Diceros bicornis minor: one gene and its partners. The protein of the gene in region 3 interacts with the protein of the main gene of each other region in a biochemical or structural test. Links are inferred from orthologs where the notes say so. Each region holds a gene or a part of one and is shown on either strand. Other genes may lie near its edges. The genes, in order: AHR, PRDM2, RB1 and EID1.

Region 1 (8,002 bases), on a different chromosome or scaffold from region 3:
GCGGTTTGCATGGTGTCCAATTGATGTCACTGTGTTGGCCTTGAAAATTTAAATATCCCGTGATGGTGCCCCTTTGAGTTTTTTTGTGGTGCCCTTGAGGTGCCTCAGCACACAGTTTGTGAAGCACAGGCTATGCTCTCTAAAATATTTGGTATAACTATAATGAGGGATCTAAGTCGTAGAAGCAGAGTTTGAGTGAAATAGATCATTCTGAAGGCCTGGGGTAAAGAACTGCAGGATTGAAGAGGAGGTAAAAATTGTGATAAATGTTCTATCTGCATGGTATGCACTTCCTTCCCTACTTTACCTACAAAATGCCTACCCATGCCTCAGAATTCAGCTCAAGCTTCTTCACTTCTTTAGCACAACCTCCCCTAAGTCAAACTCACCTATTACACATTCTCAGACTACTCGTTTCATAGCACTTACCACAGCTGCAATTATACATTTATTTGTATAACCACTTGATTAATTCTTGTATCTCTCATTAAAATGTAAGTTCTAAGAGGCTAGGGATATGTCTGATATCACCATAGTGTCTCACAGTGCCTGGCATATTATAGGAGCTAAAATCTTGAATGAAATGAATGAAGGCATGTACTGTGACACAATAGGGTTAGCATTTATTTTAGTTATTTTCCTTTATTCTAAGACAGCTGCTATGTATAATAACATTCCTAAAACTTATTTCTTTTTCTCATAATATTTAGCAGGAAAAAGAAACCCATAGAAATATAGCTGCATCTGAAACCTCAGAAAGTCATCTCACCTAAACTAAATAAAAGGATAATGGTGCTTTGGATTAGGCAGTCAAATATTAATAAACTCTTATATGCAAACCAATTGTTATAAGAAAAAATCACGTTATTATATAAAAATGGCTCATGGAAAATTTAAAAATTTTAGCAATGGCAACAAAACATACTTTGAGAACCATGTCCTACAGTGGTGATATTAGAAGTAGAAGTGATAGTTTCTAAAAGTGGCAACTCATTCTTTTTTTTTTTTTAATTGCATTATACTACAAAGACTGATTTTATTGACATACTAAGCAAAAATTTTAAGGGCAGTGGATGGTGTCACTATTAAAATGAAATGAATTCTGAAAGTCTTGTTGATACTCTTATTTCAATCTTGGTATACAAAGATCAGTTACTAAACTGATTGTAATACAGTATAGCATGATATGATTTCTGGATAATGAAAATGGTCCTAAAGTCAAAAAGAAAATAAAGGTATGGAAGTAGGACAAAATAAGACAGAGAATGATTGTACCAAAGAACTAACAACCTTAAAAAGGTGGACATTTTTAAAAAACACTAAATTAAGATTGATTATTGGGATTTAGTACATTTAGTATATCCTTTTTCTGAAAAGGAGCTTTAAACTACAGAATCAATAAATTATGTTTTGATATGCATTTTTCACCCTTAAAGTTCCTATGCTAGAAGGAAATTACTTGTTTACACTATACATTTTAGATAGAACAGCTATGAATAATAATACAGAGATGAGGAAATAAAAGAGAAGATAAGATAGAGTTGGTTGACTCTGTGCCCCCAGAACTGCTAATCCATCCACAGCAAACTCTCCTGTATGCACTGTCTTCTTTGCTCCATCTTTTGCCTTAAACTGAAAGCTGGCTCTCCCTGAGGGTGTCATCTCCAAAATGGTTCCTAATTATTTTTCCTCATCACCTAGTTCTCTGTTGCCACTTCCTGCATCACTTTCACTTTATAGTCTTGTAAAATTAAAATAAAACAAAACCCATCAACCACAAAACACACCTGCTCCTTTGTAGGTCATGCTAGAATACTCTCTTCATCACATCTCCTTCATCTTTCTGATTCAAAATTACCAGCCCACTACATCTTACCCACCATCCTCTTTTCCTCTAGCTTCTGTAGAGTAGTGCTCCTCAAACTTCACGTACATTTGAATCAACTGGGAGATCTTGTTAAATTCAGATTCTGACTCAGTAAGGACACCCAGAGGTTCTGCATTTCCTATAACTCTCATGAGAAGCTAAGGACACTGTGAACAGTAAAGCACTACATAAACTCTGTCTGGTATTATCTAATCTGCTATAATCCTAATTCCCCTTTTCTTTTTTGGCCCTCGTTCTCTCTTGCCTTTACCATTTTTAATATCTATTGTTCCCTTACTATTCTTTGTCTTTCTTACACAGCCAATCTCAATCCGTCTCCTCTCTTTCTCAACTGCTTAAGTATCATCCATTAAAAACAACAAACCCTAATTTAACACTTTACTCCCCCTAGCTACCATTCTAGGTCTCTCCCTTTCACAGCCAAACTTTAAAAAAAAAAGAATTGTCTGCGCTTGCTGATGTCATTTCTTCATCTCCAATTCAATTCTGCATCCACTTCAATCTGACTTGCAATCCACTAGCCCACTAATATAGTGTTCACTAAAGTCACCAATGACCTCGTGTTGAGAAGCCAAAAGACATTTTCAATTCTCATCATATTTGAAACTCTCAACAACACTCAATAATGTGAACCACTCCCAACATTTTTCCACTTTGTCCTCTACGACACAATAGTGCCCTCACTTTCCTGTTACCATTCGAGCAACTCTTTTTCATTCAGTTTTACAGGACCATCATCTTCTATTCAGCTATTGGATACTACATATTGAAATTCTCTGGGTCCCAGTCTTTCTCTGGTATATATTTGCACCCTACAACCTCCACTCTCTCATGTCACCTAAATGCAAATGATTTCTGAATTTATATCTCCAGTTCATACATCTTCTTTGAGTTACAAACATGTATATCCTATGGCCTACCTGACATCTTCTCTTAGCTATCTCAAAGGTACTTCAACCCTAAGAGATCCAAAGCTAAATTAATAATTTCCCACCAGTACGTGCCATTATCACATAGCCAGATACATAGTTGAGAACACTATTATGATGTTTTTGACACATCCTCTTCCCTCACTGTCATATATCCACTCTATCTCCCAAGACTTTCCCAATATCTATGGAATCTATTAATTTTCTCCATCTCCACCATCACATCCATCCTAGTGTCAATAATGTCATCTCTTGGCTGGATTACTGCAGATGGTTTCCTGAGGAGTATTACTTCCATCCATTCCGCTCTGTTCCTGCCTCTTTGATCTGTTCTATACCCTGCAGATATGGTGATATTTTTGAAACGCAAATTTGATCATTTGTGCCCTTCTCCTCTGCTCATACTGAACTTGTTTTAGTCCCTCATACCTACCAGGCTCCTTCCCACTAAAGGGACGTTGCTTGTACTGTTTCATTGAGTTGGAATGGTCTTCCCCTGCTTTCTCCCAGCTAACCCTACTTTATCCTTCAGACCTCAGCTCAATCAACATTTTGGGGGGAAAGCCCATATTTGCCTCAATGAGTAGGTCAATTTATCCACTAGAAGATCATACTGAGTTGTGTACTTCTCCATTACAGTATTTCCTGAGAGCATAGGACATTTCTGTTTGTGTTCACCATTGTCTCCCCAGTACTAGCATAATTCCTGGCACATAGGAGTCACCCCCAAATCTTTTTTGATTGAATTAATGTGTGGAGGGGATAATATTAGCTTAGGAATCCTACATGGTATGGCATTTGAGCTAGGCACTGTCTGCTATTATTGAAGAATAAAGTTGAGGGAAATGAATTAGGGATATTGTAAAGAACAAAATTTAATAGTATTTGCCGGAATATTTACATATAAGTGGTAGGCGAGTTGAACATGATTCATAGGTTGATCTGGAGAACGGCGGAGCCAATGACAAAGTTTCAGCTAAAGCATATGACGAGCTTAATGTATTGATGCACTGAAGTTGAGGTAACAAATTTACCAGGTGGAAACAGCTTGAAGACATTTTAAAACGTAGGAATGGATATGGTGTGAGATGTCATCTAGGTATCTTAATCTGGATGCCCTTCTGCTCCTGACAAGCAGACTCCTCTGTGTTTACTATCCTGGTTAACAGCACAGAAAGAGTCAGAAATCCTAGAGCCGTTTGAGACTGCTCTTTCTCTTCCCCTATTTTCTTATCCTTTTCTATCATCATCTGAATTTTCTTTCTTCTCTCCATCCCCACTGCCACTTCCCCGGACTTACACCCGGACTATTTCAACCGTAATGAAATAGTACAACGACCTAAGTACGGTCTCTGCATCCATCTCCCGTATTCCAGTTTGCACTTTCCTCCCAGAGGGACTTTTCCAAGACACCAGAATGTCACTTTTCTGCTATCTTTAAAAGGCTTCCAATGCCTACAGAATAAAATCCAGACTCTTTATCAAGGCTTTATGGTTTGAGCCTAGAATTTCGGAACTTCGCCTCCAGCTCCTCTGTCCAACCATAGCAGACTGCTTATTATCCCCAAATGCCTTGTGCTTCCCTTCTTCCTCGTTTCCTTCCTTTCAACTTTATTGAAATCTGACTACAGAATAACAAAGTTATTCTGGCTAAGGAAAAGATGTTATATTGTTTAGGATGGAGACACACACACACACACAAAAAGCCAAGGAAACTCCTAGCCTTCATGTTTTAACTCAGATGTGGCCTCCTGAAGCCTTTCCCTCTAGGAAAATTTAGAGTTCCACTGGTTATCCACCAGCTCACTGCAATCCTTCGCCAAAGGTTAGCTGAGTCACTGTCTCTCATATAGGTGAAGTTAAGCTCACTATTTGGCATGTCTATCCTTGAGATAGTCTAGCTACAAAGAGTTCGGCTACAATACGCAATTTGTTGTCACACCTCTTTCTGGGCTGCAAATCTGGCCACAGAATTCCACCCCTCGACCTCAAGAAGATGGCTACTGGGGGGCGTCGTTACGCCTTACGTCATCACGTACAGGGAAGGTGGGGCCCTCAAGGAAGATGGAATGGAAGGGCGGGGCCAAGTAGGACGGGGCGGGGCCACGAGGGGCTGGGCGGGGCCGGAGACGGGTTGGGGGCGCTTCTGCTATTCAGCCGGTGCGCGCGGCGGCGGGAGGCAGCCCCTGGCGGGTGCACTCGACGTTCCGTCCCGGGAGCGTGCCCAGGACCAGCGGCTCAGACCTAGGGCAGCTGCGTAGCAGAGCGGAAGCTGGTGGCACCGGAGTGGCGGTCGGAGTCCGAGCTCCGCGGGCGGGAAGCACCCAGGATCTGGGAAGCCCCAGGAGCAGCGCGGCGGCGCCTCCCTTACCCGAGGGGCCGCGGCGACGGTCACGGGGCGCGGCGCCACCGCGCGCGACCCAGGCCGGGATTCCAAACAGGCAGCCCAGCCTCCTCCTCCGCCCGGGCCGCCTCACCTGCGGCCAGCGCCGCGCCGCCTCCGCCGGTGTAGAGGACACCTGCGCCACCTCGCGCGCCGGTCTCCGCCCCCGCCCCCCGGCGCCAGGCCCGGGCGGCGCACCTGGACGCGCGGGGCTGCGGGTGCCGAGGAGCGAGGACGCGGCGTCCTCGCTGCCGTCCGGGGAGGACGCAGGTGGAGCAGCGGGAGCGGCTTCGTGGAACCCCGCGCCCGCTGCCGCCGTCGTCCAGGTCGCCGCTGGCTCCCGGGGAGTGGGCCGTCCGAGCCGGGGAGGAGCCGCCGCCGGCACCATGAACAGCAGCAGCGCCAACATCACCTACGCCAGTCGCAAGCGGCGGAAGCCAGTGCAGAAAACGTGAGTGTCCGGAGCGCGTCCTCGGCGCGGGGGTGTGCGCTGTGGCACGCGGGTGCGGGAGGTGGCCGCACCCCGCCCCCAAATCCCCGCGGTCCCGGGATTAGGTCCATTCCTGACACAGTCCGTGGAATCGAGATTTGGAGGCCGGTCGAAAGACTCAGGCCTTGGATTTTCCTTTTTTAATTATTGCATTTTAAAAATTGTGCCCCGTGTCCCCAGCGCACCCTCTCGCACCTCCACCCCTTTGCAGCTCTGTTCTCTCTTCCGTGGTCCTAATTTGTTGACAGCTCTGGTCTGCTGTGTGGGGCTGGTGGATTAGTTAACCTAAATCCGCCTTGAAATCCCTTTCCACTTTTAATATCCTCATCGGTTAGGTTAGAGGACGGTCATAATTCTCATTCCTGGTAGGGCGAGATGTTTTAAAGATCTAAACACGTGCTGTCTGCAAGAAAGTGGCTGAGTGCCTCTGAGGGTATTTTTTGGTCCGGTGCACCTGGCTTCTGTTGGGCTCTTATTTGACAGTAATTTTGTAGCGCTCAACGTGACCATATCGGTAAAATGTATAGAGGTGGTAGCAGGTATGAGTGAGTGTAGTGGACAGGATACAGTGAGGGATTTGTGTTTTCAGCCACCTTTTGGAGGAGCTTTCTTATCACTTTGGGGATGGTTTTAGGGTCGTAAAGAAAAAGATTTGGAACTGGAATTACTGAAACAGACGTTTTCATTCTTAACATCTTTCTCTAATTTCCTTTTCCCCCACTGCAAAGTTTTGTCGATTCTAATAGAATGGTTACAAACTTAGATTTTCTGTTTGTTTTGGTGGGCTATTTATGTGAGATGACAAATACTTTAAAATAATTTTTTTTCAGAAAAAAAAATCTATGCTTGAGACAGATTTACTTTTAATTGGCTTTATTCATGTGTTTATTCCTAATTATCTCTGAGACACTTTATTTCACATTTTTCAAATTTTCATAAACAATTTTAAGAACACCTTAAAGCTTTACTCAGAGCAAATCAGAAGTGTGCATTTTGGTTAAAACTTAACTTAGGTCACTAATCCAAACCGGAAAAATAAGAGTTTAAGATTTATATTTAAAACCAGTAACTTGGTTTAAAAGTTTCATTATTCTGGAGTTTTAATTTCCATTTAGAATTTCAATGATCATAGTTCTTCAGATCTAGACTTGGCATTAACAGAGGATATTCGTCTATAAATAGACTGATTAAAATTTGGAAGTCTTATCCTGCAGTGTGGCTAACATTAGGAATACTGCCGAGTCAGCAATTTTCTGTCTTGCCTGTTCTGTGACATTGGTTTACCATACTTGTATTTCGTAGAGTGGTTTCTTACATAAAAATGTATTTGTCTAATTCTGTGACACTGGTTTACAATACTTGCATTTTGTAGAGTGGTTTCTTATATAAAAATGTGTTTGTCTAATCTGACTTTAACCTTGATGGTTATTAAAATTGAGAGGCGTTCCAAATGCATGTCCTGTGTAATTACTAATACAGTAGCATAAATATAAAGAGGTATCATGGGTTTTTATGTGTATGGTCATAAAACTTGAATATCTCTTTGATGGATTTTTAAGTTACTGAGTTTTAGTCAGTGTGTTACAAAAGGACCTAGATGACTTTTTTAAGAAAAATCAAATACTTTAATTTTGTATTCATTATAAAGTTTAACATTTTTGGCTCCTAGTTAACATTTCATTAAAGATCTTCCCTTTAAACATATTACATTTTCTTTTATTTATATAAGATGTACCTTTTATTATTTTATCTTAACATTTTAATATACTTTCTAAGACTTTAATAGTTTGTATTTAATAATCTCTTGTACTACAACTAAAGCATTTTCCATGTTTACTCTCATTTTATTTTATTCAGTTAGTATAGATGTTTATCAGATCTTTACTGAGCGCCATGCATTGCTTCTAATCATGTAAATGCCTTAAAATATCACTGCCCTGCTCCATAAGGAACGCCTATTGCTGCTATTTGCAGAATCACTTGAAATTGTTTATCAGTTGTTTTTACCTGGATGAAAAATGGTTAACTTTATAATGCAGTTAATCAAAGTTTATTTTAGGAATGTGACCATTAAACTCAATATTAAGTTTAATATGAATTTTTTAAATTACTACCTTGGAGCTAATGGGGTCTAAAATATGCCAACGTTGTCAGAAAAATACATCTTGTTTGAGCTGAAAATGCTATTCAGATGTGGTTAACTTTGACCTCTTAAGTGATAGCCATTTTATTTTACTTAAAGAGAAGATATATTGTAGTATAATTATAGAACTGTTAATAAAATGGCCATTTAAATATATAATTCCATAAAA
Region 2 (6,958 bases), on a different chromosome or scaffold from region 3:
TCATCTGTGAAACAGCAGCTGCTGTTGTTGCTGTTGTAAGGATTACATGAGAAGGTAACATAAAAGTGTCGGTGTAAACTGGCGCTCAATAAAGGTTACCTCCTTTCCCCTTCTCACCGTTAAATCTCACCACTGCTATGATTCCTCTGTACATTTGGAGGCTGCAGAAGTTTTTGCACTGAAATTACACAGCCAAAAGTGTCCATTATGCAATAAGATGTATCTTTAGCCCCCAGAATTTCTATCTTTGAACTTCATTTCTTCATCTCTAATCAGAACCCCAAATCCAAGTTCCAAATCTTTTGGTTGCTGGTATGCTTGCTCACATGTCATTTCTTGCTTGGGTAAACCATGTGGCGGAGGGATAGGGAGGGGGAAAAGTGAGGTGAAGAAACCAGGAAAAGAGACTCTGGATCTCATTGAAAACGATTTGCAGTCACGAGGAAAGGGGACTCAGGATTTAAAAAAAGTAAGTGATGTGTTATTTGAGCAAAATACGAGTTCATTTGATGCAGTTGCCCTTAGACACTCGATCCCCTTTCCCCTGACCATGGATGCTCTTGTCTGACAGTCCAAGGAGAGTATTTAGAGTAGTCTCTTTACACAGATATAAAAAAAAAAATACTTCCCAATTCCTACCCCAAGTATCTCAGTCGAGGAATGACTTAGTAGTTGAGAGCATGTAATGGGAGAGTTGCCTGTACCAGCTCTCAGGCTTTTCCATGTATGTGTGTGGGTGCCTGTGTATGTAGCATAGTTTACTTGTTAAGCCTGTAGCTTACTAGGAAGCTACATTGTCTAGGTTCAAAACCTGGTTCTGTCACCAACTAGGCAAGTTCTTTAACCTTTCCTGGCCTCAGTCTCCGCAGCTACAAAATGAGGATAGTGTTTATCACGCGGGGTTGCTATGAGGATGAACCAGATGGTCCTTGTGAAACACCTAGACTAGAAGCCAGCGGAGAATAAGTACTGTTATCATTCGGGGAATTCTAAGCCCACTTACATTCCCATTGGTGATGGGTTGTGAATTCTTTAATCTTGGCGGTAAAATCTTTCATCTTTTTAGGAGCAATGCTGTAGGTCTCCTGGCTGCCATGCTGCGCAGCAGTCCTGTGGTTCCTAACATAATCATATGTTGTCTTTTAAATGCACAGTGTCTTTGGCCCACACATATTTGCTCTAATCCAGCCACATCAGAAGAGCCAGGGAGAAGACTTTTTTCCCACTAAAAATATCTATCTAGTGTTTGCTATGTGCCAGACACCATTCTGGGTACTGGGATGCTGTGGTGAATGACGATTATTGTCCTCTGTAATGGAATTGCATGTCAAGGTACGAAACCAGCCAGGACCTGTACTAGATGTACCTGTGTAGAGCGGAGTTTCATCCATGCTGTAGCTCTAGACAAAGAGTGCATTTTATACCTCCATCCCCTAATATAGAAATGGCCCATGAGATGTGATGAAATGTCTCAAATTCCTTCCCTCACCCTTTAGCAAAATACATCACCTTTTCAAAGAGGCAACAGAGTAATAGTTGGCATATCAGACAGATAATAAATACTCATGAAATTACATTGTATTCTCAATGATTTGTATCTTTTTTGGATTAAATTGATAAAACATATACATTTATCCTGAGAAGTGGCACAGGTTGAAAAACATAAACATGTCCAAGAAAAATACGAAGATGAAAAATACACGATGGCTGATTAAGGGGGTAATTTAGCAGTGCTGAGGATATACCCAGTGTGGCAGCCTAAATAACGGTCCCCAAAGATACGTCCATGTCCTAATCTCCATATGGAAAGAGGTCTTGGCAGATGTGATTAAGTGAAGGGTCTAGAGTTGGGGAGATTATCCTGGATTATGTGGGTGGGTCCTAAATGCAATTACATGTATCCTTATAAGAGGAAGGCAGAGGGAAATTTGACCACACAGAGAGAAGGTGATGTGAAGATGGAACAGAGAGAGATTTAAAGATGCTGACCTTGAAGACTGATGTGGCCACAAGCCTAGGAATGCTGGCAGCCACAAGAAGCTGAAAAAGGCAAGGAACGATTCTCCCCTAGAGCCTTGAGAAGGAGTGTGGCCCTGCTGATGCCTTGATTTTGGCCCAGTGATACTGACTTCGGGCTCTGGCCTCCAGAACTGTGACAGAATACATTTCTGGTGTTTTAAACCACTCACTTTGCAGTAATTTGTTACAAGAGCCACAGGAAACTAATACACCAAGTCATTTTAGACTAATGACAGGGAGAACAACCACTGATTACTGTCAGCCATCTCTTGGTATGATGCTATCTAGTGTACGTTCCGGTTCACTGTATCACTTCTAATTTAACATTCCTTCACATTCTATTGAATGCCACAGGGCATATAGCTTTTCTTTTAAATTTTTGTTTAGTATGTCAGTGTTTTGACTGAGGATGAAATGATGGAGCTTCCCCGACTTTTTTTGGAGATACTCCAGATGACTTTGATGCATGGATCACATTGGGAAGCATCGATCTAGGTAAGGGATGGAAAAGTCTGATGTCTGCTCTGACCCACAGCACCGTACACTATTTTAGTGACATGCATGCAAGTATCTCCCAGATCTCTTTCCCTTGAATAGTGGAAGAAATAATCCAACTCTTGAGGTTTGATTTCTTTTTTTCTTAGGCTCTGTGCTGACCCTGTCACTTTTTAAGGCCTGGATAAAATTTACTCTGATGAGGTTATCTTCATTTGTTCACAATATCTGACTAGGTCATTAACTACAGCACCATCCCTTTACAATAAGATTATAACATGATATATATTGATACATCATGTTTTCTTAATATTAAACCATAGTTACATAAATGGGCTTGTGTGCTCCTTCAAAAATTCCCAAAGCACATCTGCATCTAACTTGGTGTCTATTCTTTAGGGTGGGTCCTTTCCACAGAGGCCTAATGTCACCATTCCATTTAGATTCTTCCTGATTCCATTCTCAGGGCTTTATCTTGAAGAGGTCATGGCTTTAAATACCATCCATATGCGGCAACTCTCACCTGTCTATCTTGTCTCCAGCACGCATCTCTTCCTCAGCTCCAGACTCCTTTCCAACTGGCCATCCATCTCTCCTTGGACGGCTACTAGACATCTCCAGTTCAACCCAGGTCCTCTCCATGAGAGCATTTACTTGTCGTCGTCTCCCCGGCCGTCTATGTGTTTCTTCTTTCTTAAATAATAAGTTCCATCAGGACAGGGCCCATGTCACGTTCTGTGCCGTGGCTGCAGCGCCTAAGACTGTGCTGGGCACCAGGCAGGCAGGCCGTAACTACTCATGTGTCACGAAGGAGCAAATGAACCCAGCTGCATCTGCTTGGAGTTTCATCTTTTTGGGTGAGGCAAGACGGGTCTTTTCGAGAAGAGCGAAGAATGGGGTCTATGTTTATTCATTTGCAGGGACTTAGTGGTGAACCCCTTTCCTTCCTCCTCCGCCTTTTATTAAAGGCTGTGGATTCTTGTAGAAACTCGCAAAAGCGCAGAATCGCAGCCCCCTGGTGCGGGCAGACTGGATGCGGGAGGCGCGCTGGCCGCTGTGCTTTTCTTTCAGCGGCGCCGCGCGTGGGGTCCGCGGGGTCCCTGCGAGGCCCGTCCGACAGCGCGAGTCATTCCGGCGGCCAGGCGTCGGGGCCAGTGCGGCCCGCGGTCGTCGGGCCTGCGAGAACCGGGGTCGGTCCAGGGCGGCCCGGGGTCGTGGGGGCGTGTGCGGCCGGGCGTCGGAGCCCGCGGGGCCGGCGGTCTCGGGGGCGCGGGCGGCGCTGGGCGACGGCGCGGGCGGCGCGGGCTCGGGAGGCCGCGGCCGGCGCCGCCCGACGTCACTTCCGACCGGAGCCAAGATGGCGGCGGCGCGGCCGCGGGCGCCGGGGCGGGCGGAGCGGCGGCGGCGGCGCGGGCGGAGGCTCTGGGCGCTCTGAGGCGCGGGGCGCGGCGGGCGCAGGTAAGAGGCGGCCGGGGCGGGCGGCTTCCGGGACGGCGGCGGGCTGGGCGCCGGGACGCCCGTCCCTGCCCGCCAGGAGCGAGCGGCGGCCGCACGCCGGGGACCCGGGCGGGCCGGCGGACGCGCCCCCTGCGAGGTCCCGGCGTCCCGGCCGGCGGGGGCCCCGGAACGAGGCGCGGCCCGGGGGCCCTCCCTCCGGCGCCCGAGCCCCCCGCGCGGCGAAGTTGCGGGGCCGGCTTTGTCGCCGTTGGGCTGCCGCGCGCCCCGCGCGGGGGACGCGTGTGGGCTGCGGGCGGGCGGGGCGGGGCCCCCCGGGGCGCGGCGTCCCCCACAGCCGGGCGCGCGCGGCGCCGGGGCCGTCGCGATTTCCAGCCGTTTGCTTTCCTCTTTTGTGTTCCAGCCGAACGTCTTGCACACCTGCGGTCTTCATTTGTTTCGTGTCTTGCGTCTTTGTGTCGCCTAAATAGTTTCTGTGTGGCTTAAACCTGGACATTGCCCCCCCACTATTCCCATCGCAGACCCACCGGTGTCTTTGTTTTAACAGACGTGCGCTCATATAATATTGATTTTGTCACTGACCGTGTCCACGGACCTATTTCTGACGGTGGCAAGTGAGACGTGAAGTAGACCTAACGGGTCAGCGTTGTTCCCAAACCGCCGACCCACGCGGGGACCGGGAGCCACGACCGGCCGCCGTCTGTCGGGCCGCGAGCTGCGGGAACAACCCCACGTTGAACCAGGCAGCCCAGATCCCCCTCACGACGCAGCTGTGATTTCCCCCGGGAGGAGACATGCTGGCCCCCCGTTTTCTTCCGTTCACGGTCGTGTTGAGGTTTTGGTTTTATTTCAGAAGTGGAACGCCTTTCAGTGAATCCCGCTAGGTCCTCAGATCCCTTTAAACAGACACTCAAAGGGTCGTACCCAGAAGGCGACTAAAATATTTCTTCAAGTGTTTGTTAACTGCAGGTTTATTGTCGAAAGCACCCACAACGTTGAACAACAAACGGAACCTCTCAGTGATTCTCTTAGCCGCAACGCCAGACTTCATGTTGGTTTGATCAGTTGCATCCAAGTACTGGAAAAATGTCGGCCTTTTTAAATTTTTTAACGTTATGAAATTTGCTATACAAATATTAAGGAGGAACTGAAACACATAATCGTATGTTCTTTTTTAGTGGGGTTTTGTTTTTGAGATGCCATGCAGCTGCCCCCCCATTCTCTAGAAGCTTCCTTACGAACACTTATTTGACCACGTTCTTTTGCGTGTGGAATCTCAGCGTAGCCGCGAGGGGACCTTGAAAGATCGTTTTATTTAAGCCCCCTCGTTTCAAGGTATGGAAACCGAGATTGAAATCCGTAGTGGGACCAACACTTGTTCACAGCTCCTGGGCTGCCAGGGCTTTTTCTGTGCATCCTTTTTGGTTTGATTTAAATAAGTTAGTACATTTGAAGGGCTTAGAATAAGCTGCCAGGCACATAATAGTAATGCTCAATAAAGGTGGCTTTTGTTGTTTCTGAAGGTGATGTCTTGGATTGAAAAGTTGGCATATTCAGATTTGTTTTTTTCTCATTTTGTGGACAGTTCCAGAAACAGTACGTCCTAAATTTGTAATAATGTATTCATTTTGTAAGCACTGTGCAAAACATAGCAAGATTCTCACTGTAGAACAATTTGAAAATAGGGAAAAGCACAAAGAAGGAATAGAAATCAGCCATAACTTTCCCACTCCTCAGATAACCACTGTTAACATTTTGGCAGACCTTTTCATCTCTCTCGGTGTGCGTGTGTGTATTTCTTTACTTATATGTATTTATTCTCTTCTATATATTTACATTTTATGCAGAATTGGTATCATACTGTATATATTTTTTGTAATCTGCCTTCCTTTGCAATGTTGTGAGCCTATATCTATGTTAAATATTCTTCATTATGATTTTTAATGCTTATGTGATATATGGACAGGCCATAATTTATCAATTCCATATTGTTCAGTAAGGCTTCTATAGCCTGAGATTTCCTTTTTATTAAGACTTACTTAAAAGGTTTTTCTACCGTGAATTTTAAAGTTCTATAATCGTTTAAGATGTGTGAAAATGTAAATTCTGTTTTTGTCTCTAAATATGCATTTTTCCTGCCAATACAGTTATAAGAAGCAGCATTCAATTTCAGCTCCCTTTTATTCTCTTCTCCCTCAGTCGGGTCTGTGCAGTTACATACATATATCTGCACACATATTCTTTTGATGATTATTTTATGTTAGATATTTATTCATGGGACTGTTTCTTTAAGCTGCTATCTTTTCAAGTTCAAGATCTGATTTACAAACCTTTTAAGTCCTGTTAAATCATAGATTTTCTGGAATGGAAAGTACCTTAGGTTATTTACTATTTTCATCTCTTCTGATTTGCTTTTCATGCTATTTTTAATACTCATGCAGAAAAAAAAAAAAACCTGTGGGCTGTCGCTAGAAAACTCCGTAGTGGGGAGTGAAAAGGGAGTAGGTGGACAGTAGGGGGAAATTGTCAGACTTGGGTGGCGATGTGTAGCTACAGGGAGTTTCCAGCTGGTGGGGACATTACCTGACAGTCATTACTGCTGATACTGCTGACGTGTGTCCAGTGCTGTGCGGTGTCCATCAGCTATGCTGTCACCCTTCAGAGCGTTTGGTTAGACGTATGGGGTAGTGTTCTGGCGCTCTCCTTTTGAAGTTAGAAGTATTAGAGCCATAAAAATCATCTTTGTAGAGTGACTGAAAGCTGTGGATTCCATTAATGAAGGCAATGCCTGGGTTCCATTAAAGCAAGGTTTCTTAACCTCAGCAGTATTGACGTTTGGGGCTGGGTAATTCTTTGTTGTGGAGGCTGTCCCGTACATTGTAGGACATTGTAGCAGCATGCTGGGCCTCTGCCCCTGGGATGCCAGTAGCACCTCCCCCGAGTCAGGACAAATGATAAAGTCTCCAGACATTGGCAGATGTCCCTTGGG
Region 3 (7,273 bases):
GTCATATTCTCTCTCCTGAAGAGTGTGAATTGGTGGCATGGAGAGAAGGCCAGTATGGCAGGAGAACAGTATAAAGAGAGGAAGACACAACATTCATGGCGAGGGGAAGGAGGGAGCCTGTTGTTGGAGGGATGACAGGATACATGAGTGCAGCAGCAGGGACTCTTTTTTTCATGCTCTTCACTTTTTTCCCTCTAAACTAATCATTACTTCTGAATAATTCAGGTAAACTGAGCAACTCTTTATTTCTTGAAACCTGAAAGAATCTAAGAACACACACATATGGGAGGAGATTTAACTCATGGGAATGAAAAAGAGCAAGAAGAGAGGAGAGGTGAAGATCTTCTAGGCCAGTGCTATCTCACACTATCTGTGAAGGAACTTTCTTTTCTTTTTAATTTCCAATATTTCATGAATTGATATGTTTGAAAATATTTTGAAAATAACATTTTAAAAATTACTAGGAAAATGAAAGCAAAGGGACGCAAAATACAAGCTCACATTTTTTAGTATTTTAAATAGTCATAAAATTACATTTCAAAAAATTAGAATTAAAAAAAATAGGATAAAAGAAAAAAACTACAAAAACTACACTTCGTTCACTGAAAGTGTACATGTAGGTGATTAATAGAAAATTGCTAATACACCCCTAATTTTTTGTCATTCCACAGTCATAACAACTAAATAAAAAGTTGGTAGTGAAGTAGCAATTTCCTATATTAAATGCTATAATAAACAATATTTAATATTTTAAGTTTTTCATTATTTAAAGTTTTTAACATTGACAAATGAGTGTGGTTCTTGTTAAATTATCTAATCTAGGTTGGATTGGTGACAATGTCACTAGCAGGATATAATGTATATCCAAACTGTTTCTATGTTTTATTTTAATAACATTCATATCGAGAAATCAGTCTCCAAAGGTATGTGTAAGGGGATGGAAGAAGAGATTTTAAAGCAATTTCAACAAGCTCAGGATATTCATTTTTAAATTCTACCCAAAATGAAGCAAGAGATGTTTTATTTTCAAAATTCATCTTCAATTCTTCATCAGTAGCCAGTTCCAAAAATTAGTCCTATAAAGTTAGAGTTACATTTAAATTATCTTTCAAAGATATGGATTCTGGATCCATGAATTCCCTATGTGTGGAGTTTATTTTCAATTCAAAATGTTTTATCAAATTCATAATTAGTTTATGTTTTATATGTAAATGCCACTGAAGTTTGATGGCTTTATTGCTTCATTAGTCAGTACCTGGTTTTAGCACTTCACTGTGAGTTATGGCTATGAACTCAGTAGATGGGGGATTATACTCGAGTAAAATCAGTACAAACTCTTAGATCTTGAATTCTTTGGAATCACTTCTCTGATGATTTGTTTACTACTTTATTATTACTAACACACTGCTGACGTGTCTTTTCTTGACAAAACAGGACAGTGAGGTTTGTTTTGCCATCTATAATTTAAGGTTAAGAACAAATGACAAATTTTTCTTCCCTAATTTAGCTACAAATTCCAAAAAACAGGCTTGATTAAAAATTAAAATGACTGTAAAAATAGCAAGTTATAAAAGTAAATAAATATTTACATTTTCAGATTTTTATTCACTTTTGGGTTACAGTTGACAAACTAACCTTAGAATTTCACTCCTTATAATGTGGTCCTACTGCACATGACAAAGACACAGCCATGCCACCTGCAACTCACCACACAAGTTGGAGAACACTTGAACTGTTCTATATTTTGTTAATGAGAGGTGTCCTATAATCATGTGCTTGGATATTGATGAAATGTCAAATTGCTATAAATGCTGCTAAGCACTTTTAATTTCTATAGTTATCTCCTCATGGACTACACACAAGCAGTTTGGAGGCTGGTACTGGTCCAAGGACCACATCTTGAGTAGTGCTGTCCTAGGGAACCTGCATTGAAGAGACTGGGAGAAGAAGAAGAACTAGTGGAGGAGTTTATGAAGTAACAGAAGGGAGGAGGAAAACAAGACCATAGATTTGTGGAAGACTAGGGCAGTTTTAAGAAAGAGGAAGGGGTTATTAACTGTGTTAACTGCAAGAAAGGTCAAGTAGATTGAGGACCAAAAAGAAGCTACTGAACTGACAATTAGGACATTGGTGACCTTTGAAAGAGTGATTTCAGTGGAGTGTTTGTGGTAGTAGTAGAAGAGAGCCAGGCATTAGTAGGCTGAGGGTTTGAGGAAGTAGATGGAACAAATAGGGCTACCCTTTCAAGAAGCTAGATGGTAAAGAAATGGAAACTGTGTGGTAGTTTAGGAGTGCAAAACAAGACTTTTTAGGCTAGGGGAGACTCAAAAAAAAATTTTGATATCACTGAAGGAGACTCAAGCTGAAGAGAGTTCTATCTCCAGATAGAAAATCTAAGAAAGATTTTTCTTTTTTGGTCTCACAGCCATCTTCTTAAATCTACTATGGAGGTGGGGGAGGATCAGGGGAAATTTCTATTAAGAATCTGCAGAATTTCTAATACTTTGGTATTACAACAGAAAGCTGTGAGGGGATGTAAGGATTTTGATTGACTCTATTGCTCCTGTAAGGATTTTAAATGTAGCAGGGGACACAGTTAAATTAATCCTTGGTAAAGATACACATCCTTTTGTAAATTGAGAAATGTCTTCGATTTATCTTAATTGTGGTAAATCCAAATGTTGATAAACTGAGTTTAAATAAAGCAGGTCATATCTACATATGAAGAGAGTTTACTTAGGTTCTCAGAACTGTCCTCCACTCTCCTGGCCTCCCCACCTTTAGCGAACAAGCATTTACCGTGTGCCCAACCCTTTGCTAGCTACTAAGGCCAAAACCATGCCTAAGATTTGGTCTCAGTCTTGAAAGGGCTCATAGGAGAAATACTATCAGTCGTGATGCTTTCTAGTGCAAACAACTGAAAACTTGCTCAGCTGAGGTCAGCTCTAGGGTTGGTGAAGTTAGAGGTTCAGTTATGTTATCGAGGACCCAGAATTTTTTGATATTCCTACTGTACCATCTTTAGCATTTCTGCCTTATCTTCAGGTCAGCTTGCCTTAAGTCACAATGGCTGCGGCAATTGCAAGCGTCACATCCTCATGATAATAGCTAAGTGGTAGAAAAACTGTGTCATCCTCGTATCTCATTTTAGCAGGCCTTCAGCAGACTATTTTTGATCTTGCAAAGACCAAAATTGCATCCTGAGCTCCTGCCTACACTAATCCCAGGCAAAGCGAATAGGAACTTGGATGGTATTTGCTCTCTCTAGCTGGGGCTGGGCATGGACCCTACCTTCTGACAAACTTCTGGCCCTCAAAAGAGGGTTTCTGAAGTTAGGCAGCACTAGCTGTGGAGTAGGCCAACGACTGCTAACCCTTTTTACATCCTGCTATATGTCATGGTATACATAGAGAATGATAATCAATTGTATGGTGTTTTCTTTAACGACATAGTGTAATGGATAAGAACCTCGGTTCAAATCCTCTGCCACCCATCAGCTCTGTAATATTGGGCAAATTAATTACCTCCTCTGAGCCTGTTTCCCCATCTGGAAAGTGGAATACTACTACTACTCATTTTAAAGGGTTGTTGCTGGGATTAAGGGAGATAATCATGTAAAACAGCCAGCACAATCCCTGGTACATAGTAAGCCCTCCTGAAATGTTAAGTCTGCCAGGCAAACTTCCATTCAACTGTCGCTGCTCTTTTGAGGTCTCAGACAATTCGACGGTGCCTCCTGTTTTTGCATCACTGTTAAAATATTTATCACACTATAATCTGTTCTTTACCCACAGCCCCTACTCCTCCCTTCCCTAACTAGTGATCTCTAAAAGGTCAGTAATTGTCCTACACTTTGTAGCTCCTAGTGATTGGCAAAGTTCAGCTCCTTTTACGCGTTCCACAAATGTTTGTTTTTGTTTTGGCCGACTGCTTAACGGATTGGGCGGGAGAGTGTGGTGGGGAGGGCGGGCGCCGCCCACGGGGGAGAGGGGCGTGCCCGCCGAGGGTGTAGCCGCCTGATATTCCCGGCAGGGCCTGAGCGGGAGCCGCTGCTCAACCCACAAACAGAGGGGGCCAGGCTCACCCACCAGACTGTGTAACGCTCCGTGACCGGCACCCAGGCCCGGAAGGGAGACTTTCGGGTAGAGACAGGTTCAGGCGGCGGCGGCGGCCTCGAGGAAGGCGGCTCGGCCCAGGCCGGGGCTCTGCGCCCAGCCCTCCCGAACCCGCACCCCCGCCCCGCGCACCGCCCGGCGCCCCGGTTCCCTCCCGACGCCGGCGGGCCCGGGAGCCTCGCGGACGTGACGCCGCGGGCGGAAGTGACGTTTTCCCGCGGTTGGACGCGGCGCTCGGTTGCCGGGCGGGGGAGGGCTCGTCCGGTTTTTCTCAGGGGACGTTCAAATTTTTGTAACGGGAGTCGGAGAGGACGGGGCGTGCCCGACGTGCGCGCGGCCTCCCTCCCGGGCCCACCTCCACCGCTCGCCGGCTCCTGCCCGGGCAGGGCGTCATGCCGCCCAAAACCCCCCGGAGAGCAGCCGCCGCCGCGGCCGCCGCCGAACCCCCGGCGCCGCCGCCGCCCCCGCCCCCCCCGGAGGAGGACCCCGAGCAGGACAGCGGCTCCGAGGACCTGCCTCTGGCCAGGTGAGCGAGCATCGCCGCGGCGGCCGCCGGCGCGCGAGATGGGCGCTCCGAGGGTGCGTCGAGGCGGGCGCCGCGGCGTCTCGGCGGGGGCGCGTCTTCTCCGGGTCCGGGTACCGGCGGGAGGAGGGTGCCCGCTTGTCCCCCGCCGCTGTGGAGCGCCTGGAGGAGGATGACAGGCGTCTGGGTGCGGGAGCGAGGGGAGGGCAGCCGGGAGGGGTCTCGGCTCCAGCTTGACAGGTGTCGGGCGGGTGGGGCTCGGGTCTCTGAGCGAAGTGACAGGTGCCGCCTTTCCTCAGCGAGTCGGGAGGCTCGCAGGCGGCGGGTAGTTTCGAGGCCCCATCAAACGCAAAGAGAAAAACAAAAACGAACTGGTGTCTGGCGGACAGTTTTTCTCCGGTCGAGATTTGTAGTTCGCCGGTGGTCGTTGGACTTTCTGTTTTGGTTTCCTGCGATGCGGCAGTGGGAAGTGTTTTTCTCCGGGCGCGCACTGCATCTGAAGCCCGGTCCTGGGAGAGGCCAACCAGGAAAGCCTGCGACGCTGCTGCAGAGACGCCTTGGGATGTGAAGTGTAGGGTGCTGGGTGTCACTTGCCCCCAGGGTACTCGACTGAGGTGCTATGTAGGATTTCCTTATAACAGTGCTTTGAGGCCTTGGGCTTCAGAGCCATCGATAGTGCCTGGTGGAACATAATTCTTTAGAGGAGCTCGTGTATGGGCAAAAGTTTTTTGAAACGTTAGTGTAAGTGCTTAAAAGTTTCTAAACGTTTTCTTTTTTCCCTGTTATATAAAATTCTTGCATGTTAATCTGCTGCAGCATGTCTCATTATTTCTTCCATTTTGCCTTTAGGCTTTGAGCCAGCAAGGATCCTGGTGTCCCCTCTTTTGTTCGTTTGTTTGGGTACAAAATTAGTGGTGTTCGTGTGCTCACATGGAACTATTTTTTTCCTAAGTGGAATCTAAATTTAAGCAAGTCCGTGATAATGCAGTAGAACATGACAGGGAGCCATTTATTGTATTGCAACATCTTATTTTTCTTGATTGTGATTCTTTATGGTTAAGAAGCTAAGATTGAGAGAGTGTAATTGTCATTATTGTTGTCAGCACTGGTCCTACTTTGAGACTACGCGTCCATTGCAGGGAATGAGCCTCCTTTCTGTCCCTCACCACTCCCTCCTCCCTTCTAGTCCATCACCAAGTCCTATTTCTTTCAACTCCCCAGACACTAACAGAGGTCAGGGGAATTGTAAAAGGTTGGAATGGGCTTTTGGAATTGGCCTGTGAAAGGCTATTAAAAATTCATATATTTAAATGAACTGTCTTACTGGTCAATTAAAAATCATGCTCACTAGTAAAAAAAAAAGTCTGAGGATGTTCTGGGAGAAGACATTACTTTAGTTTCTCATTAAACTGATGTATCCAATACTTGCAAGTTTCCCTTTGGAAAGAGCACTAATGTCTACTTTAAAGAATTCCATGTTATCCACATAGCTTTGGAAACATTCTCCATTATTGTAGGGTAACTAGAAGTTCTTGAAGTTCTGGCCGAGATCTGGGACTAGAAGAACTTTGTTTCTTTTATTTTTTCCCAACATATTATTTTGTATGCCTTTAAATGATGGAACTGTCAAAAATTCTCCTGTAAGTTAAATCCATACAAGATACAGTCTGCTGTTGATTATCCAGACCCACAAAAGGTTTCATTAGCATGGGCAATCGAACTCTGTAGATTAACTACTTAACAAGGGTAGAACCCTGGTCTGGTAATCTGAAACTGAGATTAGGGATGGATTCAGGGCCCAATTTAACTGCACTTCCAGTAACAGTTCATTTCTACCTTGAGAGTTGAGATCGTACTTCTGTTGCATTATCTCTGGCCTAAGTGATGTAGTTGGAAGGGAAACCATCACTAGAAACAGCACCCCACCTTCATTGTTGAGATAATCAAAAGTTAATTATATTTTGAGGGAGAGTTGGCAGTCTGGAATAGTTGTCAAGGGCGTGGATTATGGAGTTAGACTGTTGGGTTTATATCAAGGTTTTCCACCTACTAGCCATGACCTCAGGTGAGTGCTTAAACTTCTATGATTTGGTACTTATCTATAAAACAGGTTAATAAGAGTACTTACCTAGTAGGACTGATGTGAAGGTTCAGTGAAACCATGCTTCTAAGGTGCTTGGTAACGGGGTCATAGTAAGTACTCAAAAATTATTAGCTTTTTCTCTTATTATGATTATTCTTAGAAGTCAACTAGGTATTAAATGAATGAAAAGGAATTAGCCTACAAGTATTTATTAATTGCCTATCTTAGTTAAGGAAGATCGAGGAGAAAAGGCTGAAATAAGTGTAGCAATAATTTATGTCAAGTTGATCATCATGTGAGAAGTGCTAGTAGGTAGAGAGTTTATATGAAACATTGATAAGTGTAGACTGCATTTTAGCAAAGTCACTGATACTGAATTGATTCTGTAATATTATGTATGGGCTCTCCTATTTTTGCTGTTATTATTGTCCCAATTTTCCCAAACAGCTTTAGCTACTGTACTTATTTCCTTTGCCAAGCTGTTTTGCTGCTCTGAAGTATATGTGATTCACCAGACCAGCAAACATCTTTCACTCTGTGGTATCCTTATTT
Region 4 (6,626 bases), on a different chromosome or scaffold from region 3:
ATCCCTTTGGAAGCCACTCCACCACATTCTATAATAATCTCATTTAGACCAGGAGGTTCAGGTGGGTTTGACATGTCGCTTTCACTGCCATTCTCCTTGCAGGTGGATACACGATCCAGGCCTTGCCAATCAGAAAACACCATCCCTCTGGATACAGCAAAGCCAATCAATGTCTTTGGGTTGGAACTGAGGTGGATAATAAGAGAGAATGCATCTCTCTCCGCCATTAAGGACTGTGTACACCCAAAGCTTCTGGGAGCCATCTTGTGCTGCCATGAGGGAAAAGCCTGCAGGAAAAGGAAGTTTTCTCTCTGGAGAAAATCAGAACTGAGAGTTAAAAACGGGAAAAAGTCTAGTGGTAACATTTGTTTCATCACTTCAACCAATACATTTACCCCCTTCCTTTATCTTTTTATGTATTTTTAAATTTTATTTATGTTTATATAAGTTAGTTTGAATTGGGTTTCAGTGATTCACCACCAAAAGTCTCCTGACTGGGCTGGCCTCATGGCGTAGCGGTTAAGTGCGTGCGCTCCGCTGCTGGCGACCTGGGTTCAGAACCCGGGCATGCACCGATGCACCACTTGTCAGGTCATGCTGTGGCTGAGTCCCTTATAAAGTGGAGGAAGATAGCCACAGATGTTAGCCCAGGGCCAGTCTTCCTCAGCAAAAAGAGGAGGATTGGCATGGATATTAGCTCAGAGCTGATCTTCCTCACAAAAAAAAAGAAAGAAAGAAAAAAAATGTTTAAAAAAAAAAAAGTATCCTGACTAAGGCACTAACAGTAAGACTTTCAGTACGAAGTAAGACTATCCAAGAGAACTGCATTAGCTAGCCAAGAAGATTGTCTTTTTTACCTGAGATTCTATTTGGAAGCCCCAGTGTAACGGCCCGTTTGCAGAGATGTATTTGTCATACTGTTTTGAAGTTTCATTAAAACCCCAACTGTGCACCTATTAGCTAATCCTGTCTTCAGAATCTACTACAGCTGCTTATATAAGAGGACCAAGCAATTCTACTCTTAGATGTATGTCCAACAGAATCCTGTAAATATGTGCACCAAAAGATATTCTAAAGAAAGATAATCGCTGCCTTGTTCATAATAGCCCCAACTGGAAACAATCCCAATGATGACCATTGTGATATTCAACTCATGGACTACCACACACAACAACATATATCTTGGGCAAAAGAAGCCAGACACGAAGAATTATACTGCATGGTTTAAATTATTTTATTCTGTTTGAAGTCAGAATAGTGGTGACTTCTGGGGCAAAGGAAGAGACCACAGGTGGTTTTCCGGGATCCTGCAAATGGTGTTTCTTGATCTGCGTAGTGGTTAAACAAATACGTTAATTTTGCGATAATCAAGCTGTACACTTATGATTTGTGCACTTTTCTATATTTATGTTTTCTAAATTCATATTTCAGTTCAAAATAATTACTAAAAGCAAAATCAATATACAAAGATCAATGTCATTTGCACATATCAGCAAAAGCCAACAGAGACTGTATTCAGGGGGTGGGTGGGGAAGATACATTTTATAAGAGCACCTACATGTAAAACTAATAAAAATTGTGTAAGGCTTTTTGGAAAACTTCACTCAAGGATATAATTAAGACTTGAACAAGTAAAAAGATATGTATCACCTTCATGGATGAGAAGACAATATTGTAAAGATGTCAATTCTCCCCCAAGTTAATCTATAAATTCTGTGCAATTCCAACAAAAATTCCACCAATGTCACTCAGGGAACTTTTCATGCTGCTTCTAAAATTCACATGGGAGAATAAATGTGCAAAAAGAGATAAAGCCATTTTTTAAAGAAAAAAGGGACAAGATTTTTCCTTATCAGATAGCATGACATATAAAGACATATTCAAGTTGTTTCTAAAATTCATATGAGGGCCGGCCCCGTGGCTTAGCGGTTAAGTGCGCGCGCTCCGCTGCTGGCAGCCGGGGTTCGGATCCCAGGCGCGCGCAGATGCACTGCTTCTCTGGCCATGCTGAGGCCGCGTCCCACATATAGCAACTAGAAGGATGTGCAACTATGACATACAACTATCTACTGGGGCTTTGGGGGAAAAAATATATAAATAAAATTAAAAAATAAAATAAAATTCACATGGAAAAATAAATGTCTAAGAAGAGCTAAGACAATTTTTTAAAGAACAAAGAGACGAGATTTTCCTTATCATCAAGCATATTCTAAAACTACAGAAATTCATTAGAATACAAAGTCTGAAAACAGACTCAGGGCTGGCCCCGTGGCTTAGCGGTTAAGTGCATGCGCTCCGCTGCTGGCGACCCGGGTTTGGATCCCGGGTGCGCACCGACGCACCGCTTCTCCACCCATGCTGAGGCCGTGTCCCACATACAGCAACTAGAAGGATGTGTAGCTATGACATACAACTATATACTGGGGCTTTGGGGGAAAAAAATAAATAAAATTATAAAAAATAAATAAATAATAAAAACAGACTCACATATTCATGGACTTTTAGTCTATGATAAGTGTGGCACCAAACAGCAGACAAAAAGACAAATGATTAAATTAGTGGAGTTGGCTGAATTAGCTATATATATGGAAAAAATATATAAACAAATTCTGTCTTTTGTGTGTGTGTGTGTGAGGAAGATCAGCCCTGAGCTAACATCCATGCCAATCCTCCTCTTTTATTTTGCTGAGGAAGACTGGCCCTGAGCTAACATCCCACCCGATCTTCCTCCACTTTATGTGGGACACCGCCACAGCATGGCCTGACAAGGGGTTTGTGGGTGTGCGCCCGGAATCCGAAACCAGCAGAGCACACGCATTTAACTTCTACGCCACGGGTTGGCCAAACAAATTCTGTCCTCATACTACTTATATAAATAAATGTTTGATTCATAAAGATCTAAAAATATATTAGAAGACAAAGATAGAATATAGATCTACAAAGACAGAAACAAAGATCTACAAAAACATTAGAAAATAAAAGATTATGCTTGTGATCTCTGAGGCAGGAAAAATCCATCTTAACAGAAAGAAAAAGACATACAGAAAAAAAAACCTTAAATTTTATTACATCAAAACTCATTTTAAAACTTTTGTATAAGAAAAGACCCTTTGAAACAGGACAAACAACAGGCAGGCAGAATATATTTGCAACATGTAAAAAGTATTCATATAAAGAGTTTATGAGGATTCCTACAAATCAATAAGAAGAAACTCAAATAAGACCAATAATTTTCAGAATAAGTAATACAAATGTTTGATAAACATATTGAAAGATAATCAATCTCCAAGAAATCGAGGCTATGGAAAACAAAACAAGATACCATTAAGTTGATAAATTTGTTAAAGTTCAACAAAAGCATGTGTGGCAAGGGTATGGATCTTCTCAGACACCGCTGACTAGAGCTTAAATTTGTACAGCAACTTTGGAGAGCAATTTGACAGTATTTATTAAAACTAAAGTATGCATACCCTACGATTCCACCTTTCCACTTTTGGGTATTTAGTCTAGAGAAACATTGGTGGATGTTCATTTACCTATAGTTTATAGTATCAAAAAATTGAAAACTATTTGTGCATAGTTAGGTCAACTATGCCACAGCTATACAAATGGAACGCTATGAAAAAATATATATCTTTGTATACCAACAAAGCTAAATCTTCAAGATATTGCTGAGGGGTTTTTGTTTTGTAACTTGAAGACAGTTATGAGACGTAAAAACACACACACACAAAATAAGCTTTTTACACGAATTCATAAAAATCTATGTAAATGCAAAGAAACAGGATTTGAAGAATACACACCAAATCGGTAACAGCAGAAAGTTACCTCCTGCAAAAAGAAATGGGACCCCGTATCTCTTCACTATAATTTTCTTTAAAACGTACACGGATAATATGCTTATGTGTGAATTTAACTTTTTTTTAATGAGGAAAATAGAAGAGGTGAATGGATCAGTTCTTAACATGTCGATCTGTGGTTGAGAACACTGTGTGATTTGGAGGTGTGGATTTGTAAGTCATTAGCTCCTAGATAGATAACAGGTAGTGAAAACCTTGGAGCAGATGCGATTGCCTGGAGCGGGGGGAAGAGGAGGAGGGCGGGGGGAGGAAGGGGGGAGGAGCAGGAAGACGCTGGGTAAGCGTCGTTACAAAGGCTGTGTAGAGTATCTTCAAGTTTACAGCATCAGCAGAACGGTTAAGTGAGGCGGAGACTAAGCAACGGGCTAGTATTTACAGTCTCTAGGCATGACGTTCGACACAAGGGATACCCAGACCACCGAGCCACGCTGACGCCCCCTGCAGAGCAGCCACCAGCTCCCGCCAGATCAGGGCGCCAAGCGGGAGGCGGGATCCCCCAAGCGGGGGTCGCGCAGACGCACGAGGTTACGCAAGCGCACGGCGTTAGCGCACGCGCACAGCCGCGCGGCCGCGTAGCTCCGATCTTGCTGAAAACGCTGTGCGAGAGGTTGAGCTGCTGGTACGATGTCGGAAATGAACGAGCTGTCCGAGCTGTATGAAGAGAGCAATGACCTGCAGATGGATGTGATGCCTGGCGAGGGTGACCTTCCGCAGATGGAGGTAGGCGGCGGGAGCCGGGAGCCGTCCCCGAACCCCGCCCGCCCCGGGGCCCCGCCGCAGCTCGAGGAGGAAGGCCCGATGGAGGAGGAGGCGGCCCAGCCAATGGCGGGGCCGGAGGGGGAGCGCGGCCTTGCTAACCGGCCCAGCCCCGGGGAGCAGCCGGGCCAGGTCGCGGGCCCCGACTTCGAGAGCGAGGACGAGGGCGAGGAATTTGACGACTGGGAGGACGACTACGACTATCCGGAAGAGGAGCAGCTGAGCGGTGCAGGTTACAGAGTATCTGCGGCCCTCGAAGAAGCCAACAAGATGTTTCTGAGAACATCCAGAGCAAGAGAAGCAGCCCTGGATGGCGGGTTTCAGATGCATTATGAGAAGACCCCGTTTGATCAGTTGGCTTTTATCGAAGAGCTTTTTTCACTTATGGTTGTCAATCGTCTGACCGAAGAACTCGGCTGTGATGAGATTATCGATAGAGAGTAGTTAAATGCTGTTAAAAGAGGAGGAAGCTACTTGAGGAGAGACCCAACATTCCACTGTCTCTTGGGTTCATTCCAGATAGTTCCATGCCAATGAAAAACTTGATCTTCAAAAAAAGTCTTGTTTTGCAGAATAGAATAGGACAGTGACTGTACAGTTGCGAAAAAGGAAGAAAATTGTTGAAGAATCTTAGGACTGTTAAAACCTGTTTTCAAGAATGTCCTGAAAAACACCTATGGCTTTGACTTTGTTGCTGATCCAGAGTATTTTCCTTGCATTGGGGAAAATATCTTTCATATTTCACTGTAAGGGATGGTTTTGCAAGAATAAGTCATGACCAAGACAAACTGCCAGCACAAGAGCCCACTGATATATCCAACGTAGGACACAAGATGAGTTTGAGTTATTTGGACTGAAAGCCTATTGAGAAAACTTTGAAGATTCCACTTTGTGATCTGTCCAAGCCACAATTATCAAAGGCTAAATTTTTAGTGGAAGATAAATTGAGTATTCTTCAGTATCCCAAAAAGAAATATGTATCACGTGTGCTATATCTTAAAATGTGTTTCCAAGAACATCTGAAATTTTGTTTGTACATATATCTCGATCATTTATAAAGCTACTATGATCTATAATTCAAGAAAATTCATTGTCTTAACCATTTTTAAAAGTCAAAAATTAAGATGTTAATAAAGTTTCAGATTTAGACTTTAAAATGTATGTGCAAGTACAAAGAAAACAAACTATTTCTAACACCCTTCTATACTAGAGAAATTTTCTGTTTTACTTGCTCTCTGTTTTTCATTTAACTGTACAGGCAAAAGACTTGGGTTGAACTTCATAATTAAGAACTGTTAAGTGAAAATTGTCAAGTAAAAGAAAAGCCCTACATCTAAAAAAGACCTGAACAATTATGCTGTCAACCTTTAAAAGTTTTAAACCTGACTGGAAATCCACCTCAGTATTTGAAGTTTCCCTCTGTCTCCTCCTCTAAATAAGCTTGTTATTGGTTATGCACCAGCATTCAAGATAATAAAATTTCTTGTTCTGTGTATTTTGTTTGGCTAATAACATTGCATACATACTTTCTCTAATGCTTTATATTGGATTATACTATTTTATTGTATTGCAACCACTTTATGATATAAATTTAACCACTTTATAAGGGAAAGTGCTCGAGCTTCAAATACCTACTGTAGATTAATTTGTGGAAATTAAACTTAATGAATTCCTGTAAGAGAATTTACCAACCTGGGAAAGCCTGCCCTATCAATGAGCATGTTGCCGTAGTTATTTTTTTAAGATGCTGAAGTTCTGTGAGAAGAGGAATCATGTCAGAGGGCTGTGCCCAATAAAACTGAGTATATCAGTGGGTCTTATCATGATTAATCAAAAGGTATCAGATGTGCCTGCTTCGTTATGGTAGTAAAGGCCACATCCAATACAACAAGACAGCTCAGCCTTATTTATGTTAACGGTCATCCTGTCTTGTAGGGAGAGAGTTTCTTTTCTGTAAAATACAGAAATGACAAGGATGATCATAATCAAACACTAGCTTGGTGGGGAGAA

Evidence for each region.
Region 1: the proteins of RB1 (region 3) and AHR form a complex in vitro, tested with the Homo sapiens proteins (2 studies listed by BioGRID). The link is inferred for Diceros bicornis minor from reciprocal best matches to the Homo sapiens genes RB1 and AHR.
Region 2: the proteins of RB1 (region 3) and PRDM2 form a complex in vitro, tested with the Homo sapiens proteins (2 studies listed by BioGRID, with this or other methods). The link is inferred for Diceros bicornis minor from reciprocal best matches to the Homo sapiens genes RB1 and PRDM2.
Region 4: the proteins of RB1 (region 3) and EID1 form a complex in vitro, tested with the Homo sapiens proteins (5 studies listed by BioGRID). The link is inferred for Diceros bicornis minor from reciprocal best matches to the Homo sapiens genes RB1 and EID1.

What each region holds. Positions count from the first base shown.
Region 1 is NC_080742.1:43,514,345-43,522,346, forward strand, and holds the start of AHR (aryl hydrocarbon receptor), read left to right. Parts: upstream 1-4,993; 5' UTR 4,994-5,586; coding exon 5,587-5,651; intron 5,652-8,002. UniProt on the Homo sapiens protein: Ligand-activated transcription factor that enables cells to adapt to changing conditions by sensing compounds from the environment, diet, microbiome and cellular metabolism, and which plays important roles in development, immunity and cancer.
Region 2 is NC_080752.1:31,950,122-31,957,079, forward strand, and holds the start of PRDM2 (PR domain zinc finger protein 2), read left to right. Parts: upstream 1-3,956; 5' UTR 3,957-3,972; intron 3,973-6,958. UniProt on the Homo sapiens protein: S-adenosyl-L-methionine-dependent histone methyltransferase that specifically methylates 'Lys-9' of histone H3. May function as a DNA-binding transcription factor.
Region 3 is NC_080748.1:28,794,707-28,801,979, reverse strand, and holds the start of RB1 (retinoblastoma-associated protein), read left to right. Parts: upstream 1-4,272; 5' UTR 4,273-4,507; coding exon 4,508-4,641; intron 4,642-7,273. UniProt on the Homo sapiens protein: Tumor suppressor that is a key regulator of the G1/S transition of the cell cycle. The hypophosphorylated form binds transcription regulators of the E2F family, preventing transcription of E2F-responsive genes.
Region 4 is NC_080744.1:45,426,620-45,433,245, forward strand, and holds EID1 (EP300-interacting inhibitor of differentiation 1), read left to right. Parts: upstream 1-4,243; 5' UTR 4,244-4,484; coding exon 4,485-5,060; 3' UTR 5,061-6,111; downstream 6,112-6,626. UniProt on the Homo sapiens protein: Interacts with RB1 and EP300 and acts as a repressor of MYOD1 transactivation. Inhibits EP300 and CBP histone acetyltransferase activity.